5 linked regions of the Xenopus tropicalis genome follow. The protein of the gene in region 2 interacts with the protein of the main gene of each other region in a pairwise test. Links are inferred from orthologs where the notes say so. Each region holds a gene or a part of one and is shown on either strand. Other genes may lie near its edges. The genes, in order: amotl2, ralbp1, tsfm, gse1 and rac1.

Region 1 (4,158 bases), on a different chromosome or scaffold from region 2:
CAAAAACAAATACTTCTCTACGTACATAAATTACGTATTTGCGCACTCTTTACAATACTGTGGCTGGCCAGTGGACAATAACTACTGGATGGCTGGAATTCCATAATATTGATCTACAGCCAACATGCCATTATAAATAAACATGCTCCAGTTGACAGATGTTTTAAAGGGTAAACTTTAAATGCAATCCTACAGTAGAGATATTCCATCTACATCGTGAAGATGTTTGCATAGTATGGTTAGAAGTCTGTGCTCACCTGACTTCAGACTGGTGATATACAGGCAGTTCCCCAGAATAATGCCTTTGTTCTGTTGTGTATCCTCGTATGTCCTGTACTGGTTGATTAAAATGAGGGTACTCCGGAGGAGCACCCCTATACTGTCCCCTATCTTCCTGTTGCTCACGAGCCACCGATAGCTGGTAATGCCTTGAAAGCTGTGGGAAGCTATGAGAGGAGCTCATAAGGTTTTGAGGCTTGGCACCATTTCGCTCCAAAGACATCTGCAGCAGACGTTCACTTAAGGACCTGACATGGCCATGTTTCAAATCCTTAAGGGATTGGTCTTGCCGATGACCACCATGTTCCACTGGCTGGGTGTTCTGGGCTGCATAGTACTGTGAGAGTGCCGCTTTGGCTTCTTCATAAGTTGGCAATTCCTCGCCTTTGTGTTGAAATTCATGAGCCTTATACATGGGGTTTTCCAAGTAGAAATAGTCACAATGATACTCCTGGCCTTGGGGTTCTTGCCTTGCTGAAGGAGCCATTTGAATCTCTTCCTGTTCAAGACTTTCTAGGGATGATCTGGGACTTCCACTGCCACCTCCAGCCCGCAGAGCCTGCTCCTGGATAGCCAACAATGTACGGTTATCACTAAGATTCCCATATCTTAGTTGCTCCTGAATGAGACGGTGTAGAACCGTTCCAGAGGAATCCTCGGCTGTTCTCATCCTTAACAAGTAAATAAATCCTCAGTCAAGTGGAAAATATAAGTAATGGATTATAATCCTATTCGACTGTTGGGGAGAGCCTGTGGAACAAGAAAAAAATATATGTTTTAAGACAAAATTCTTCCAAATAACACAAGAAGGATGTGACAGTGATGGTTTTATGTCTCATCATAACATCAAGTCAATGTTCACAATGCTTAAAAGTCATGTTCACAAAGGAACAAAGAACCCTGGAGGATTCTAACTGGATTTTCCAATACAACATACACACGTTCTACTTACTTTGCTAAGAAATAGAGCTTCATTGACTTGTAAGCTGCTGATTTTTAGGCAATTAACTGCTTGTTTTTTTGGAGGTGATGGATATCAGAGGAATGGAATTTCCTCCCTTTACTAATCCCCCCCCTCCTGTCCACACATATACACACACCTCCCTTTCTATGTAGATAAAGCCCACTGTATCTATGGTATGCCCCCCTGCTGCCTCTGCCTTATAGCCCTCCCCTTGAATTCCACATTTCCTAGTTGAAGTTGAACAACCAAAAACAGTGCCAGTATTTATTTAGTTTCAGGCCTCCATAGCAAAGAAAATAAATACTGGGATTCCATCCCTAACCAACAAAAATACGGCATGTAAGAATCTTTTAATGCTGTTAAACACTCCTTGTAGCAGATTTAGTATAAATAGCCATCACAACAAATTCCCCCTTTCACTAAAACTTCTAAAATATATTTATATATATATATATATATATATATATATATATATTTATATATATATATAGGTATGTACATAGGGCCAAACCTGAACGTTCCCTTGTCTCTTACGGGAAAATATTTTCCAGCACGTAGGAGGCGAGAGCACCTTTAGCATAGCTAAGAAGTGACATCACTGGCTTCTTTGTGTTGCAATTGACATTCTTTGTGAATTGCAGCCTTCCCTCTACCCCACACAGGCCCGTTCTAAAAACAAGAATCATAATAAGAATAGAATATAGTTGGTGGATTGCTGCTGCCATGGCTAAGGTGGCAAAACACCTGCTAATCCCCCCTTTGTCTCCTTTAAAATGACATAAATGTTGTCCCTTAGATGACACTTTGTACACAAGGAATATACAATACTCAGGCATCACAGGCCCCCAGAATTTCTCAGGCACCAACAGCACCCTACATAAATACCATTGTGACAAATGACCAGTCATTGGGGGCTTTTATTCTATAGATAAGTCTATAGAGACAAAGACATACGGTATATACACATGCATACATATATAGAAACACAACAGTTTGCACATAGACTAAAGCTGTGGGTGCTGGGAGTTGCTCAGGTACCAACACAAACATTATACATTATCTACATTGAGCATTATTGCATATACAAGAAACTGAATATAAATACAGACAGACATACACAAGAAGTATTTCTATTCATTCTAGAGCAGCAGCTTTTAGATTGCAAGTTCTGCGGGACACCAGCTTAATGAAAGACTGTGTAGCAATGGTACCCATGTATAATAAACAACTGTCCTTATTCTAGCTGCTTGCGAGACATGTGACTCACAGACCGCAGTAATGCGCCGGGGGTACGATATGTACATACAGTGCGCAAATAAAAACAGAAAATAAAGGTAAAAGCAAGCGCAGGGCAGAGTGTAGGAAAGAGCGTACTCACCCGAGCATAGCCAGTGTGTGCGCAGCAGACTGGGCTCTCGGTGCGACTGTGTCGGTGCGACTGTGCCCGTACTTTCCCTGTGCGCAGTGAGCTGTGTGCTGCCTGAGAGCGCTGAGCAGACTGATCCCGCAGCACTCACGCCGCTCTAGTGCTTCAATAGCTTTGCTATGCGCGGAATGTGAGAGTTTCAGGCTCCCCCTGGGATAAAGCTATAACCACACATAACCTTTCTCCCTCCCTCCTCCACTCAGCATTCTGCCCGCCTCCTCTCATACTTTCCCTCCGGGCTGCACTCCAGTGAGCGGCCGCTGGGGGCGGAAGATCTCCCCGCGTTGGAGCCGCTAGCAGAGAGCACGCATTACTGTTGTTATTACATGTTTCTGTATAATGGCGGCTAATTATGAGGCGCCTAATTGTGCTGTCCGCACTGCCTTACAATAACAGGCACGGAAGCTCATAATAACTGTACATCAAACGAGAATACCGCCTGGGTACATCTTTCAGACTTAGAGATCAGATTTTTTTAAATAGAGCTTGTGGTAATTCCTGGTCCCCCCCTTGCTTCCATGGACACAACTGACTTTGCTCCAAGCCAATTTTACCATGATTCTGTTTAATGACACCAGAAGTGGCACCATTTAATATTGCCCCACAATTACAGTGCAGTTGTGGCGCTGCTGCCATAAGGGCAGTTGGGAAATTTACCTCAGGCAGCTGCACACTACAAGTTACTATTGTGCCCCCTCCCCTGATATATCTTCATTCAAACATTCTAATTTTTAAATAGGAATTGCAGCTCTGCTAGAGAAATGCATCCCCCCTGACCTGCTCAGACCCAAAAAACTAAATATTTTTGCCCCCCCCCCCCCCAGTATATCTTCAAGAGCAAATATTCTAATTTTTAAATAGGAATTTCAGATTTGCTAGAGAAATGCATCCCCCCCTGACCTGCTCCGATGCAAAAAACTAAAAGTGTGGGGGTCATATCAACTAGGCCGCTGAGTGGTACTGGGTTCTGCAATGCCCCTGGGTGATACTCTGGGGTACAATGCTGAATTGTGGTGAAAATCAAAATGAATCAGAAATTGATACTATTCCCTCGTTAAGCATAGCCAGCCACTACACATTTTATTTTGGCAGATATTCAGGCACATATACTCTCTGTTAGAAATAGATAATGCCCGCGGACCCCGAGCAGAGTTGGGTAAGAATGCTATACGCAGGAGGTGCTATTGTATTCACTGGCTATACAGCTTGCTATTCCAATTAAGCCATTGTCTCATATCAGTGGCTACAGATCTATGGTGCTCGTTGGCATGGAACCTAGCTTACAACTGAGAAAATAGCCTGTTGTAACATAAAAAAAGCCACTTTCTGCTTGGCCAGGAAGGGCTTCTTTACTGTCCGTCAAGGGGCTGATCTGTTTCCCTTTGATGAAAATAAATGACAGTAGGTCATAGTTTATGGCAGACCTTTCCACAATTATCTCTACGGCTATAACTGGTATGCCCAGACTGAACACATTGCAGCTAAGTGC
Region 2 (3,514 bases):
GCTGATCTTTTGGGGCTTTTGTTTCGGGGAGGTTGTCTCTCGGCAGCTGGGATCGGACACTGTGTTTCCCAAGCTCTTCTTCCTCCTGCAGCTGCTCACATTTCACACGCTGCATCTGTAACAACCGGAGCTGCACCCGCAACTCAATGATGGCCTCTCTTTCCTCATGAATTGCCTGGTTTAAATGATTATTCTTGATCTGATGAAAGAGACAGAACGTAAGTCTAAGAACCCAGCAGAGATCCTGGCTTGTATCCCAGTGTTCCTAATGAATGTGAAATCCAGGGTCAGGGATAATCACCAACACTTGTATCTTCTCTGAAGATAAGCAAATATTACAATAGACTGGGGTAAGTGCCACCTAAGGACTGGTCAGCAAGCAACAATGACCAATCAATGGCTGGTAATCTGTACAATGGAAATGGGATAAATACTGACAGTGTGCTGGCACTATAACACAGTAGGTAATAAGTTAAAGCAGCTATATTATATAGCAATAGACATTTCAAATTACCTCCAGCTCTTCATTCTGCCTCTGCAGATCTTCTAAAATGTATTGTAGTTCATCTTCATCCTCACTTTCACTCTCACTCTCTGAGGAATACTCTTCTGTTTCACTTCGACCGTGTTGTTGTTGGCGGCTGGAAAATATTGGCCAGTTCTGTTATTTCAAGTTTTTCTGGGATCAAAGGTAAGATTAGTTCTAGATATGAGCTAGATTTGTGTATTTAGCTATATAGCAGTTATGGCCAGCTGGAATAGCAGTAATGTTGATTGTTGTGTGCAGCTGGGTGTGATGCAAATAGTCGGTCTAGTGTAATAAAGAGTGGTACTCCTGGCATTATTCAACGCTTTCATAATTCAAACATATTAGTTACTAGCTCCTATAATGAAAAGAGCACATCACATACAGTTATATGGCTACTGTACAACTGGGTTCATATGTGCCCTATAGGCAATATTTAGCTGCTCCTATAGGAGTATTTGTATACCGTAATTCCCCCAAATCTATAAGCAAAAACCTTATGTCTGATATATGTATATGCACGTGTAGAGTCTAGTTGTAAATTACTTCAGGAAATGTTGGTTCTAATCTGAGTGTGAGTGTGCAATACCTTTGAATTTCAGAAATTTCTGCTCTGAGGCGCTCTATTTCTTCTTTTTCTGTAGCAATTTGTCTACGAAGGTACTGCTCCATTGCCACAAGTTCCTCCTGCTCTGTCAGAATCTCATTCTCCTGGAAAATATGTTAGACATACATAGGATACAGAAGACCTATTATCAGGCACACCATACACACATAGCAAGCTAATTATAACAAAAGAACTGCTACAATGATGCAATGTCTAGCAAAACTATTCACTAAATTTATGTGGGGTTATGTAAAAGATGCAATGACTGCTAAATGTCACATTAGCTATAGTACATAGCATTCACTGGCTACCTAGTTAAACACAAACCTCTTACTGGTTGCCATTGGTTACTGCACCTGGGCAAACTATGTGCCTTTTATCACATTTGGGGGAATAGTGTTTTTATTGTAATCGGATTGCGTGTCCCCTGTCTACATTTCTAATAAAGACTGAAATTCAAAGGTAACTGAACTCATCTGCTAAATTGTATAGATCCCCAGATTATGCCTGCAAGGATGGTAAATGTAGCATGCCATTGATTTAAACATATATTCTTTCTATCTCATGCGGGATATTCTGTCTTTTTCCTTCTACCTTAGTTCTGGCAGCAATGACTCTTGATTCACCACATACATACATATTTTACAAAATAGCTAAGGGTGCCCCTTTATGGCTAACCCTATGCAGGCCAAGTTAGCAGCGTTGCTATGTAGAAATAGTGAATGGTGGTCGCTACATTATGACTGAGATATTGCAGTGGAGAAATACAATTTCCAGTCGGCTGATCCTATGCTTTCATCTGCTGCATATACCTGTGCAAGTAGTATATTGAGAACCTCTTCTTCATTTTCTGTCATTTCTTCTTTTGAAACATCCTCTTTGGAGAGGCTGGCAATTTCCTGTGCAATCTTTGTTTCACAGTCCTGGCAAAAGAATGAAATTGTCGCTCAGTGTGCACATCGTGCCAAAAAAGTCTGCACATTTGGCAATATAAGTGGAGTGCAGTATTTAAACAAAGGGGTTCTCTGCTGATTCTCCTGACCATGCAAAGGCCTATATTAGGCCCATAATTTGTTTGCAGGCTCCGTCGCCTCCCCTTAAGCCCTGGGCAAAGCAGGCTCCTGCTTCTGACTCTTAAAATAATGTTAGTTGAGCAGCTGGCTTTTGCTATGCTGTTTAAGGAGTCAGAAGCATCAGTGCAGAGAACAGCAAGTGATAGATATGGCCATTACATTTACAAATAACTTCAAAGCCATTTTAAATTTTTAATTACTATATAGTGCCTGCTGCTTTAGCTATCCCTTGATTCTCTACTAAGCAGGCACATAGATTTAACAAAGCTCTGTAGGCTCTATAGATAATAACATCTCTATAGATAATAACCAACAACACTGCCCTGACTGTAAGTTGCACTGTAAGTATAGTACTTTTCTGGTTCAGACGGTCCTTTGAGGTGCAACATTTGGCAGGACAGCACTTTTGCTTTTAATAAAGTTACAGAAACACAGTTCTCATCACAGTTGCTCTTTGGTTTGTCTCTTACAAGCCTTATATCTGGACTAACCTATTTTCAACCTGGGGGTTGAACCCCCTACACTTCTGGAAGCTCTGTGGTTTTGGTATGAGATCTATGGATTTTGTTCAGAGGCAATCCTGGGGCATCACACTCAGTTCAAATATGGGAATATAGCTAGCAATATAGTGTGGCCTAAAGTGGATCTTGCAACAAAACTAAATAAACTATGCTTTCTATGCATTTTATTCCTCCATCCACTGTTTGTCTCAGTCTAGCTAAATGTTACAATTGTATTTATATAAAAACTGACCACTGACTGTCACAAGCCAGGACCTTTGTGAATTCTCACTACAGCAGCTTCCTCTTCTGAGGGAAGAAGAGAAGACAGGAAAGTGGGAATTTCTTTAATAGGTCTCACATTATCTTATGACAGATACATCCCTACAATCACCTAATTGAAATGGTAAGAAAGTAATGGTTTACAATTGCCTTCTAAAAGTTATTTTAAAAGCTCAGAAAGAACACAAAAAGAGCATGTGAAACACGTGCAGCTGTGCTGGCCAAGTCCATGGCCCCATTCTTCACGTGCCACATATATCCAGTATTTTGGTACTTGTCCAATCCCCACACAAGAGAATACATTGTTGGAGTTTGGGCATTCATGCTATAAAGATGCTGCACTGGCAGGAGAGGAATAGCCTATAAACCTTACACACCTGTCTTTTTGCTTCTCTGAGCTTCCTTTTCAGCGCAGTCAGAATCCTCTGCACCTCCCAGAGCCGCTCTTCTTTGGACAGGTCCTTTATTCCAGCCTGAAGTTCCCGGTGTAAACAGTTTAAAAGAAACTCCTGTGTGACAGAAATGA
Region 3 (4,260 bases), on a different chromosome or scaffold from region 2:
AAATGGTATTTATTTTATACTTATTTATACTTAAGGCTCAACAAGGAATGTCCAAGTGTTAAGTATGACTAGATTCTGTTGATTCTGCTACTTCCCCACACTCAAAGCGTATAAAGTCCAGCACATTTATTCCTCGTGGCTGCAAATACTGCCCCACGGTTAGACTGGGCTCCAGAAGAAAGGACTGTGCCAGCATCTTTGTCTCTGTCTCCCCACTAGATTCATCCTCAAGGGAACCTACCGACAGAGGGTTCATTCCCACAACATGCTGGCCCAATCTGCGTCCAACTTCAGATATGTTGCTCTTAGGGTTACTGTCGGAATCTTTGCATATCACTAGAGCTCCATATTTTCCAAATGTGATATTAGATAGGGATGGTACATCTGCTACAAGAATGCCATGCATATAAGAGCCTATGAAGATATCAGAGGGAGTCTTCACCCAAGCAGCTCTCTTCATAGTCATATTTTCACCTAACTTCCCTTCATGGAACAAGCATGATTAGAAGAAAATAGAATTAATAAAAGGATATGCTATTTTTATATGATGCATTATTACAACTGACAAGAAGATACAAAAACTACAAATATCAGCAGTTATTGGATAGACAGAATAGATACTCAGATTTATGTAAAGTAACAGAATGTAAGTCACAGAAAAAACTGGTCACGGTCACCTTATAGGTTTAATAGATGGAAATGGTTGGCTACATGGCACATGAGCTATATCATCATGCTTAAAATATTATTTTTCTTTCTAAAGTGCCATATTTTGCAGCATTTTACAGAGATTAAACACATTCAATGTGCTCATTTTTAGCTAAGGTGCTTTTGGGTGTATTATGTCCCTTTTACTATAATAAGAAATCGACAAAATGCCATTTCCTATGTTGCCATGACTTTGTTTATTCAAGGAAGTGCATTCTAAACAGATAAAGCAGTTACACACTATAAAATCAGGAGAAACTTTACCTATTGCCAAAGCAAGTTGATCTTTTAATAATGACTCCTCAGCTTTCATTTGTAAGAGTTCTTCACCGCTTAGAAAACCCTTAGATAAAACCAAGAGAAAGACATATATTTACAGTAAAGTAGACAATAGCAGCGTGAAAAAGACTGAAAATATTAAGAAAACACTGTGTTTAACAGAGTGAATTTCATTTTATGAATTCCCTTGAATTATATGTCTAATATAAAAAGACTGATGATATTACCATATTTATAACTGTGGTTACTGAATGCAGAAGCCCTATTTTCTAGCACTTCCAAGGCAGTTGGCAGTTGGTACTAAGTTGGTAGTATGAAGTAGAGATCTAAATACTAACCTTTACATAAGAAGACATGTTCTCCTGATGACTCTGGCAATGCCTCAGAGTGCTCACAGCCACCTGCTGAACTAGCTGCTGAAACTTTGAATTCCTGGCAACAAAGTCAGTTTCGCAGTTAACCTGAAAGAATATTTGTTATGAAGCCACCATTTTTATAGATAAGGTTTCTTCAATAGAGCAACTAAAATATGAGCATTACAGGCATTTAAATAAATGCTATCGCAAAATTAATTTATGAACTACTACTACTACTCCTGCCTCTTACAATGCAGCAGATGCCAGTTCTTCTAGCAGGACTCCAGTTCCCACAATGCTTTGCATGATCTGTCATTAAAAACCCCAGTGAACACGTAAGAAAGCCATTGTTGGAACTGGAGACTTGGCTGTAAGACATTTGGCTTCTGCCGCATTGTTTCAAGAGCCAGGAGTAGCAATTCAAAGAATAGATAGGCAAACAGGTGCCTTTTTAATTGCAAATAACTGTAACACTATTCCCCTCGTCATGCTTGTACACATGAGAAAAAACATTTGCCCATGGAAACTTTTCCTGACATTCTGGAAGGGGTTAACTTAAAAGCTAACTAAAAATTCAGACGTTCCCTCTGCATTCTCCAGATTATTTAACCCAATCCCTTAGACTTTTGCAGTGAGAGACACTCACTTCCACCATCACAGATGTGTTGCCATCTTGCAGCAGCCCCACAAGACCTTCTGTAGTTTTTCTTCCTTGAAGTTTGGAAGCCTTGTCCCAGCCTTCTTTCTGAGCTTGTTGGTGCAGCCACGTCTCTGCCTGTCAAAACAAAATGAATATGAGAAGAACGAGTGTGTGCACATATCAAATAGATGTGTGACAAGTATCGCTGTTGATATTCTTCCATCAAAGAGGTACAGCTAACAGAAGAAGGTTCTGCTGTAGATTTACAGGTGACTAAACCTGGAAATGTTTCCCTATTTTATGACATTCCCTGATAAGCAGCGAATATAACATGGCTGGGCACAGGCAGGCTGGCACCTGGTACTCCCCACACAGTTCATGAGGGAAGCATACTTCTACAATCACAATTCTTTCATTTTAACCTCTTACTTGTTTAAAATCATTGCTAAATTGTTCCAGAGCCTTCTTGCAGTTGATAAACGAGTAGCCCGTCCTCTTCCTGAGTTTCACCAGGAGCTCCTTGTCTGCTGCCAGTAGCCTCACGCCTGTGTGTAACAGTCCAACCTGCTGCCGCCACAACAACTAACAACACACCAACACAGAGGAGATGTTAGCACATAAGCATTTGTCTTTCACTACCAGTCACCGCTACAATCATTCTGCCTGTCTGCCCAGGCAACAGCCGCTATGTCCGAATGCCTCATTCCTCACCTTGGCACGCAGGCTGCTGCACAGCGCGGCCATGTTCCCTGAATATGACAAGACGCAATATGATGACGCAAATGTGCCCCTTTGTTCCTGTGCTTGTAACAAATAAAGTTGCATCTGTGAAGGACTAAAATTATGGTGTAGGCATAAGAACGAAGGGGATTTGAGGAAAAAGTTGTGTCACAACCATGTGACTAATATGTGGGCGGGAGAGTTGTGATGTCACGTAGATGTAGAATTGTGTGGCGCTAAGCGCTCAGCTAAAGAGGCTTTACTGGAGGGTTGCTGCAGGTGTGGGCTGCAGGGGATAGATTGATATGGCACTTATACTGTAATGTCACCCACTGTGACCTACAGCACCTACATTTGCCTATTTGTGTCTGTTAGTTACCCCTCCCATATAGATTGTAAGCTCTACGGGGCAGGGACCTCCATCATCTTGTGTTTCTGACTCTTATTGCAACTGTACCTTGTATTTATTTGTATTTATTGTTGTACTTTGTATTTATCCATTATCTTTAACCCCCTGTTTGTATTAATGTATTCTACTGTACAGCGCTGCGTACATAAGTAGCGCTTTATAAATAAAGATATACATACATACATACATATATATACAGGATATACATAGGGGCACATTTACTAACCCACGAACGGCGAGTGCGTCCGATTGCGTTTTTTTCGTAATGATCGGTAATTTTGCGATTTTTTTGGCGTCTTTACGATTTTTGCGTAAAAACACGAGTTTTTCGGCGTCTTTACGAAAGTTGCGCAAAGTCGCGATTTTTTCGTAGCGTTAAAACTTGCGCGAAACGTTGCGCCTTTTAAGTTTTAACGCTACGAAAAAGGCGCGACTTTGCACGCAAGTGTTAACGCTACGAAAAAATAGTGACTTTGCGCAACTTTCGTAAAGACGCCGAAAAACTCGCGTTTTTACGCAAAAATCGTAAAGACGCTGAAAAACTCGCGTTTTTACGCAAAAATCGTAAAGACGCCGAAAAAAATCGCAAAAAATACGAAAAAGTCGCAAAATGTTCGTTTCCAATCAGAATTTTTCCAATTCGGATTCGAAATCGTGTCTTAGTAAATCAGTCCCATAGTGTGACATGTTTGGGGCTGGTGGTGGCTGCGCTGGTATGTGCAGGATTGATGGAGTAGAGCAGTACGACTAACCCTACAACTGACAGCTGATTTGGTCACTTGGGGTACATTTATTGCCAGACCATTTTTGAACATTCTTTTTGAACATTCTGCGCCTTTTTTTTACTTTTTTAATTTACCTCAGGAAATAATAAATTGGGGTTTTTTTGGGGAACAACCTGAGCTTTCAAAATATGCTAGAATTTTTATGTAATTTCACTTCTGAAACAAGAGGCTTCTAAATGTCTAAAAAATAAAGAAAATATTTTTTATCTTGACATAAACAAATATATCAGAAACAAATTATTTTATGTACAAAAACTTGGAAAGTCCAATGTCTTCTGAAGTTTTATGGAGATTTCAGACTCGGCCGTGTCAGACTGGCCCCCAGGATACCAGCAAAACAGGTTGTCATGCACTGTACATGGT
Region 4 (4,150 bases), on a different chromosome or scaffold from region 2:
TGACATTTTCCAGCAATTAATTTAGATTGCCGCAAGTAATTTGTTTTACTAGCAAGCATCTTAATGTTATGTTATGGCAAATTATTTTTGGGAGACTTCAATTTAATTAAAGGGCAAATGGAGCATCTGCCCAGGGCTCACAGTTGTATTATGCCTAATAATGCCTTATGCCTTTATCTGGGGCCTTGGCATGTCTGATATTGTTCTTTGCTGGAATCTTGGGTGAAGATTTGGAATTGGGGACAAATCTGATATGCCATTTTTTTTCTGGTGACCCAATTACTCTCAATGTAAAAAGCATAAATTGCTTTGGAAATATTTTTTCGTTTTCCTTTAATGTTAGGGCACACGGTGCGGATATCTGCTTCTATCAGCCCTATGTTTTTTAGCCAACTTTAGAGAAGCAGATCCGCTTGCCTATGCTCCTTTGTGTGCCTGAATAAAAAACTACGGCGACTGCCGTGTGGGCACACATAGCGGAGTGGATTGGACCTTGAAAACATCTGCATATTGTGTGAGTGTAACTGTAATTGTATGGTGATGGTACTGGAGGATGAGTTTGCACAGGATGATGGGAATCGCCAATTGGATCTTTGCCCAATTCCCACCAAGGCCTTAAATCTGCCCTGCTACTAGGCCATTCTTTAGCTGCAGGGTCTGAAATCTGCAGAAGAAATGGATATGCCCAATATATACTGTAGCCAAAGGCAGGGCCATGCAACACTGTACAGTGTGTTCTATAGTCTCCATCCATCTATCAATTATACCTCTCAGGTATTGTGGAAGTTGAAGTTTAAGGATAGCTGGATAAAAACTAGCTGAAGAAATTTAACAGGAAACAGTTAAGCAAGGGGAAATGGCCCTGGTGGAGTTCCCAGGAGGTAGAGGGGGTCTAACTGGGACATTAACTAAACAGTTTCAGTATATATTATTAAAAATCAAAATGTCTTATTTACAAGTTTAGGGGAGTGGGCACTAAATTGAACTTGCCATGAGGCACAATAACATTGGGTCCAGTGGTTAAGAAGAAGGTATTGGTACAGTGCAATGGTATGGTAACAAATAGGGACTACCCTTACAGTATTACTGGTATGTCTCCCCTGCAGCCCTCTAGGAGTTGCAGTTAAACAACAGCTGGAAGGCAGTATGATGGACATTCCTGCTAGATAGCCCGGCATGTTCCTACTGTCCCCCACGCTGCGGCACTGGAGGGGTTACACATCGAGCCAGGCCATGTGCTCTGCCAGGGGGCGGTGCTGGGGGGCTGATCCCATGTACTGCGCAGCCCACAGCGGGCTTACAGATTCTGGGGAACTGAGTGTCAGAAGCCCAAGTGGGGGCGGGTCGCTATCTATCCGGGTCACCTCACCCCCTCTCACCCCTTACCCATTGGAGAAACTTTGCACAAACTCCGCCGTGCTTTGGACTTGAGGGGGGGGGAATCCGCTGCCCCGGGTGGCATGAGACTGGCAGCGGGGGGCTTGGCACAGAGGGCATGAGTGATACCGGATCCGTCCCGATGTCCCGTAAGCAACGATTAATGGCAGCTTTGGAGGAAGATGAAGGCACGACGCCTGGAACGGGTGAGCAGACGGGACTGGTTTTTTGCTTTATCTGCGGAGGAGGGGTGCCCAGGGGGCGAGAGGTGAGGTTGCCCGTCCGGTGTCCTGCTCGGGAAGGTTGCGCATTTTTCCCGTTCCTACAGCAGCAGGAGCCGGCCCCTGGGGCAGAACCGCTGAGCCCGGGGGGGTGCGTCCGAGTGTGTGCCGTGTGCCAGCGCTTCTTGGCCGCTCAGTGGGACGCGTTTGAGCGCAGCCGGACACCGCTGGAGAAGCGCATGTACTGGCTCAAGCGGCCCTACCAGTGCGGCGGGGACGGAGCTCGAAATAACCCCAGGGACTGGAACCCCAATTACGACTCTGACCTCTCAGACCTGTCCGACAATCCTCTAAGTGAGCCCGAAGAGAGCGGGGAAGCCCGGCCGGAACCCACACAGGGAAACAGGAGACAGTGGGCATCCACGGTACCTAGCTTGGCACCCCAACACTGCGCCCCCTGCCGGGAATCTCCTAATGACAGAGCTAGGCGCTTGGGATCAGAGACTGACCACCAGACCCACGGGAGAGAGAACGGACACCTTCCTGGGCTCTGTTACATTTGTGGGGGGCACAGCGCCGGGCACACTATACACGTACAAAAACAAGAACACACGCCTGAAACGCCCTTCTTCCCTTTCCTTTGGCTCCACACGCCTCCGCCCGGTGCGCAAGCCATTACACCTGGGGGCAGTGCCCGTGCCTGTACGCGCTGCTTCTCCTCCCTGATGCAGCAGTGGCACAGCTTTGACGTTGCCAGTGTACCTGTTTTACAGCGACTGTATGTGGTGCCTCTTCATGCCAACAGTACCCCAGAAAAAGCAGCTCCTCAGAGACCAGTGGAATCTCACCCCAGTGCGCCAGTCCTGTGCTACCTGTGTGGGGAGGACTGCGCCAACCAGGTGAAACTGGTGCAATCCCGGATAACAAATGGCAATGCCAAAACAAATATGCATTTTCCTTTCATTGGCCAGTTGCCCTGCCCACCTAGCTCCAGGGGGGTTAACCAACAAGGGGAGATACAAAGTTGCAGAAAATGCTACGGGGTGTTGGAAGACATATGGTCTATCTATAGGGCATCCCAGAATGAGGAGCTCATCAACTCTGCACAAAGCTTTTTGGCAAGGTACCATCAGGTGTTCAACTCTTCAGATCCTGGTTGTTCAGGGGTGTCTCATAACAGGAGGGGAGAAGCCATAAGTAGCCACACTGGCCATACATCTATATGCTATGTATGTGGAGCAGAGCTGGGGCCAGGTTTGGAGTATCAAGTAAGCATAAACCCACCCAGTAGGTATGGAGACAAGGAGCCCTTCTTTCCTTTTTTAACAGTCTACCCTCCTGCACCTAGAGCTAGGCCTGCCGACTCTACTGGTCTTGTTTCCACCTGTGGTCTTTGCTACCACGACCTTCTCGGACAGTGGTTTCAGCAGGAGATGAAGTCACAACAACCTAGCAGTCCCTGGTCAAGACAGTATCAAGTGGAGACTTTTGTCTGCTTCTTTTGTAGACAGGAGAAAAAGAGAATGCTAGGATTAAAGGCTGTGCAGGTGGCTAGGTTGCCTATCTTTTTATTTGCCCCAAGGATGGCCAACACTTTATTAGTGGATGATGGGAAACAACTTCTTATTGGAGCTTGTATTGAATGCAGACCACTGGCGTTAGCTGGCATCAGTACAACACAGAGCGGGGCTATGGTACCAAGCCAGAAGGTAAGAAGCTCTCTATTGATAATTCAATACCACTCCATTCATTTATTCGACAGTCAGAAATGGATGTATAGGTGTGTTAGATTTACAGTAGAGAAGTGAAATGCTTCTGAAGGATAGGAGTCACTGTAAGCTGGGGAAGCCAACATACTATATACAACCTTTTTCACTTATTGGTGATGTCAAGAGGTAATGCTTTTTTATGAAGCCTAATCTATGTGAATACGTTTATAAGATTACTTACTGTATAAGAAAATTGTGTTGCTGAATGTAGGACACATATCTTAGACTCATTTTGACTGGGATAAGGTAACAGCACCTTTTGAATTTTGTTGCTGTGGGCCCTTACTGTAACAGTTATATAAATTGGTCACCTGTTTTTGGTGCTGAAGGTTTTATGTTTGAGAAAAATTAAACCATTCATTTAGCAGTAGACTTATTGAGAAACCAACCTTTTTTCTGTCATTGTGAGACTCAGTTGAAGACTGCAATACTTACACCATGCAGTCTTTAAAAGAGAAGTGTTATATTATACATAAGTTTAATGCAACTCAAAGTACAGGTAGTTGAAGCTGCTCACCTAAGCATTTCTGTAGTGACAACCAAGGCAGCAATCTGAAAACTGTTAAGTGACAATACAAAAATTAATGGATTATTGTTACATTTGTTTGGGGCACCACTCCTGGATTCATCTTTGCAGCAGCAGAACAGCCATTGGTTAGTTCTAATGATAGATCACCATTATAATGACAGTTCTGCCAAAAATCAATTTTCACAATTACTGATTTGGAAGTGTTTCCCCATATTGCCATAAATATAAAATTCATTAAAGGGGACCCCTTAAAT
Region 5 (3,514 bases), on a different chromosome or scaffold from region 2:
GGTTTTCCATCCACCATAACATTGGCAGAATAGTTGTCGAAACTAAAATGGAGAAAGGAAAGCAAGGTTTTTATATGAGCAGTAACACAAGAAAGTTACAGTCTCTCGTCATGTCTAAACAGGCAGAACAAAGGCAGTTTCTCCTTGTTTATTTCCTTGGATCACAGGTAGGTAAACAGTACAACAGAAACGACTGTCAGCTATAAACGGAACAAGGAAGCTAAAAAATAGCCCACAGGAAAGGCATTTGCTGGGCTTAGAAAACTACAAGAACAAAGTTCAGATTATCCAACTATCAGACCCTGCAGTCCATGGGTGGAGTTTGTTATATAAAATGAGGGTAGTCAAGTATCCCAGGAACTGAAATAAGGAGAAGAAAAAGCCCATAAGCAAAGCCCTCATGCTGAACTGCTATATAAGGGAAGGGAATGATTAATGCTACTTAACCGTTTGATCCCTATAATATAATTCAGACAGGGTGACCGGCTAGGAACTAGGAACAGATACGGAGCAGCTATACACCTACAGCCAAAACCTTTTATGGCTTTGTTTATGACTGACAGTAGCCTCTTTAAAGTAAATAAAAAGGTCTTTAAGATACTCCCTTTCACCCACCAACCCCTGAAGAATTTGAAGCATTTTGGAGACATCACAGGCCCCAGGAATAATCCCAAACCTGGAGACTTTTGACACTGAATCGCCACAAAAACAGTTCAATATTTTTCTACGAAATTAATTGCAACTATTTTATGAAGCCATATGCAGATGGCTTAGGGCAATGACATAGCAGTCAGCGTCCCACTGGTAACCGCCTCTCCCATAAGTGACAAAGCATCCAAAAAAATCCATTCAAACTGGTTGTTCACCGTTAACTTTTATTATGACATAGGCATAGGGCCTAGTTTACCTTAAGGTCCCCATACACGGGCCAACTATAGCTGCCGATATCGGTCCCTTGGACCGATTCGACAGCTAATCGGCCCGTGTATGGAGAGAGTAGAGCAGCCTGGCCGACCGATATCTGGCCTGAAATTGGCCAGATATTGATCGGGCAGGTTAGAAAATCCGGTCGGATCGGGGACCGCATCGGCTCGTTGATGCGGTCCCCGAGCCGACTGCCCCATTGCTGCCCACATAATCCGATCGTTTGGCCCCAGGGCCAAACGATCGGATTATTATTTTTTTTACCTAAATCCTCCCCGATATCGCCCACCCGTAGGTGGGGATATCGGGTGAAGATCCGCTCACTTGGCGACATCACCAAGCGAGCGGATCTGCTCGTGTATGGCCACCTTTAGTATCCAAGAACAATTGGGATCAGCGCATATAAAGCAGTGATTCTATGTAATTTGGTCAAAATCCCTTCTTTCATATTTTCCTGTAATTACCCCAAATCATCCATAGCCGACAAATAACTCCATCTGTCTGTCAATAAGCACTGACTTGTTAATAAATAATAATAATAAAATAAACCGTGCAGTGTTTGTGTGTGTGCGCGAGTGTACCAGACTCGCTACAGTGAGCCCAACCAATCGCAGTCTAGTACAGAAAGGCTTATAAATCTAACACCTTACAAAATAAAGAAAGATAAATAATGCTAATAATTTTGCTCTAGTAACTAGAAGTTACTGTAAAGTCCATCTTCTCCTTTATGGAAATTCCATTTCCAGGCACAGCTAAGTAGTAACTAAGCCTGGAAGAACATTACCCTGTGGTCTGAAAGCAATCATGTAGCATTGTGCTGCTATTCCTTACGGAGCTTTATTGGGGTAAAACATTTACAAAATATGAAAGAAACAAGAATATGCTGCAGGGGGGGGGTGCCTGTGCGCGGAGAAGTTTTGCAAGCAGTGTGCAGATAGCAAGGACATCTCTGAGATGCAAATGCTGATAATTTTAGAGCCACCCACACAACTAATGAGTCAGGGCCCAGAGACTCCCAGAGTCAGGGAATTCTGCCTGCATGTTCATGTCAGAGCCTTCCACTGCACCGGGCTACAAGGAGGGCACCAAGCCTCAAATTGGCACTGCGTTATTTATGCTTAAACTGGTAATATATGAATATTGTAACCCCTTTAACAACAAGCATATGCATCTAAAACAATTGACACAAAGGGCAAAGCTAGATGTACACAGTTCCTGCAGGGTAATTAAAATGTTTTGGTTGTCCGTTAACACATTCACCATTATGGGCTATATACCAAAGTGGTCCAAGAGCAGATACAAAGCTAGACCCACTTTTAAAGGGCCGGGTAACCATTAAGATAGCACTTAGTATGTTGTAGAATGGCCAAAAACAACTTTCCAATTAGTCTTCATTATTTTTCTTTAATAGCATTTGAAGTATTTGCTTTCTTCTTCTCTTTGCAGCTTTCAGTAACTCCAGCAGGCAAAATACTATTGCTCTGTGAGAACACAATTTCATTGTTACTTTTTATAACAGGTATGGGATCTGTTATCCAGAATGCTCGGGACCTGGGGTTTTCTGGACAAGGGATCTTTCCGTAGTTTTGATCTCCTACCTTAAGTCTGCTAATAAAATTATTTAAACATTTAATAAACCCAATAGGATTGTTTTGCCTCCAATAAGGATTAAGTATACCTTAGTTTGGATCAAGTACAAGGTTCTATTTTAATATTACAGAGAAAAAGGAAAATCAATTTTTAGAAATTAAGTGAGATGGCCTTTCCATAATGCAGAACTTTCTGGATAACAGATCCTATACCTGTATTTATTTTTATGTTCAAGCCCTATCCAATTCATATATCAGCCTCTCATACAAACCCCTTCCTGGTTGCTAAGGTAATTTGGACGCTAGCAACCAGACAGCTGCTGAACGGCAAACTGCAATTGTACAGCCATTGTAAATTGTCTTTGAATATAACTCTCTACATCACTCTAAAAGTTAAGTCAAAGGTGAACAACCACTTTAAGTAATGGATGAGGGGAGAAATTAGGGATGGGGTGACTTCTAATGTCAGGCCTGTACACGTGCCTTTATTCAGTAATTTCTCATTACCCAAATCAAATGCAGTTAAAGGAGCAAGCATCTGTTTGGTCATGCTGGTTGCACCATCTTTTAACGGCCTTACATACCAATGTTTCCTAGCCGACAGTGAAAACTGTTAAATACAAGATATGACATGCTACCAAGGCAGAAAATAACCACCCAGCAAAAGGAAAACATTATTTAAATAAACAGAGGCATGGATTTGAAATAAGGTATTAGAACGGAATACTTACACAGTTGGGATATATTCCCCAGGAAAAGCATTGGTAGTGTAACTGATCAGCAAACATGTTTTACCTACAGCCCTATAGGAAAAAAGAAAACATTGATTATTCAGTTGCTTCATAAAATATAACACTTTGCTGTTCATTTGACATGCAGACAACCCAATAACCTATAAAGGTGTATTGGAAAAAGACCAAGTGACTGATGCACTGTTGGTGACGACTCTTACTCTGAAGCTTGTGTTGCCAGGTGCTATATGCAACAGGCTATACAATGGC

What was found.
Region 1: the proteins of ralbp1 (region 2) and amotl2 interact in binary tests that used the Homo sapiens proteins (3 or more experiments, as listed by UniProt). The two-hybrid records come from large-scale screens. The link is inferred for Xenopus tropicalis from reciprocal best matches to the Homo sapiens genes RALBP1 and AMOTL2.
Region 3: the proteins of ralbp1 (region 2) and tsfm interact in binary tests that used the Homo sapiens proteins (3 or more experiments, as listed by UniProt). The two-hybrid records come from large-scale screens. The link is inferred for Xenopus tropicalis from reciprocal best matches to the Homo sapiens genes RALBP1 and TSFM.
Region 4: the proteins of ralbp1 (region 2) and gse1 interact in binary tests that used the Homo sapiens proteins (3 or more experiments, as listed by UniProt). The link is inferred for Xenopus tropicalis from reciprocal best matches to the Homo sapiens genes RALBP1 and GSE1.
Region 5: the proteins of ralbp1 (region 2) and rac1 interact in a two-hybrid assay, tested with the Homo sapiens proteins (2 studies listed by BioGRID, with this or other methods). The link is inferred for Xenopus tropicalis from reciprocal best matches to the Homo sapiens genes RALBP1 and RAC1.

The regions. Positions count from the first base shown.
Region 1 is NC_030681.2:130,254,000-130,258,157, forward strand, and holds the start of amotl2 (angiomotin-like protein 2), read right to left. Parts: upstream 2,810-4,158; 5' UTR 2,622-2,809; intron 1,315-2,621; exon of another isoform or gene 1,232-1,314; intron 1,030-1,231; 5' UTR 950-1,029; coding exon 258-949; intron 1-257. UniProt on the Homo sapiens protein: Regulates the translocation of phosphorylated SRC to peripheral cell-matrix adhesion sites. Required for proper architecture of actin filaments.
Region 2 is NC_030682.2:104,600,301-104,603,814, reverse strand, and holds part of ralbp1 (ralA-binding protein 1), read right to left. Parts: intron 3,498-3,514; coding exon 3,366-3,497; intron 2,057-3,365; coding exon 1,946-2,056; intron 1,238-1,945; coding exon 1,116-1,237; intron 642-1,115; coding exon 515-641; intron 266-514; coding exon 1-265. UniProt on the Homo sapiens protein: Multifunctional protein that functions as a downstream effector of RALA and RALB. As a GTPase-activating protein/GAP can inactivate CDC42 and RAC1 by stimulating their GTPase activity.
Region 3 is NC_030678.2:141,927,006-141,931,265, reverse strand, and holds the start of tsfm (elongation factor Ts, mitochondrial), read right to left. Parts: upstream 2,803-4,260; 5' UTR 2,728-2,802; coding exon 2,695-2,727; intron 2,566-2,694; coding exon 2,413-2,565; intron 2,119-2,412; coding exon 1,990-2,118; intron 1,449-1,989; coding exon 1,326-1,448; intron 1,052-1,325; coding exon 973-1,051; intron 484-972; coding exon 59-483; 3' UTR 1-58. UniProt on the Homo sapiens protein: Associates with the EF-Tu.GDP complex and induces the exchange of GDP to GTP. It remains bound to the aminoacyl-tRNA.EF-Tu.GTP complex up to the GTP hydrolysis stage on the ribosome.
Region 4 is NC_030680.2:65,182,504-65,186,653, reverse strand, and holds the start of gse1 (genetic suppressor element 1), read left to right. Parts: upstream 1-1,338; 5' UTR 1,339-1,495; coding exon 1,496-3,307; intron 3,308-4,150.
Region 5 is NC_030685.2:25,465,036-25,468,549, reverse strand, and holds part of rac1 (ras-related C3 botulinum toxin substrate 1), read right to left. Parts: intron 3,317-3,514; coding exon 3,245-3,316; intron 43-3,244; coding exon 1-42. UniProt on the Homo sapiens protein: Plasma membrane-associated small GTPase which cycles between active GTP-bound and inactive GDP-bound states.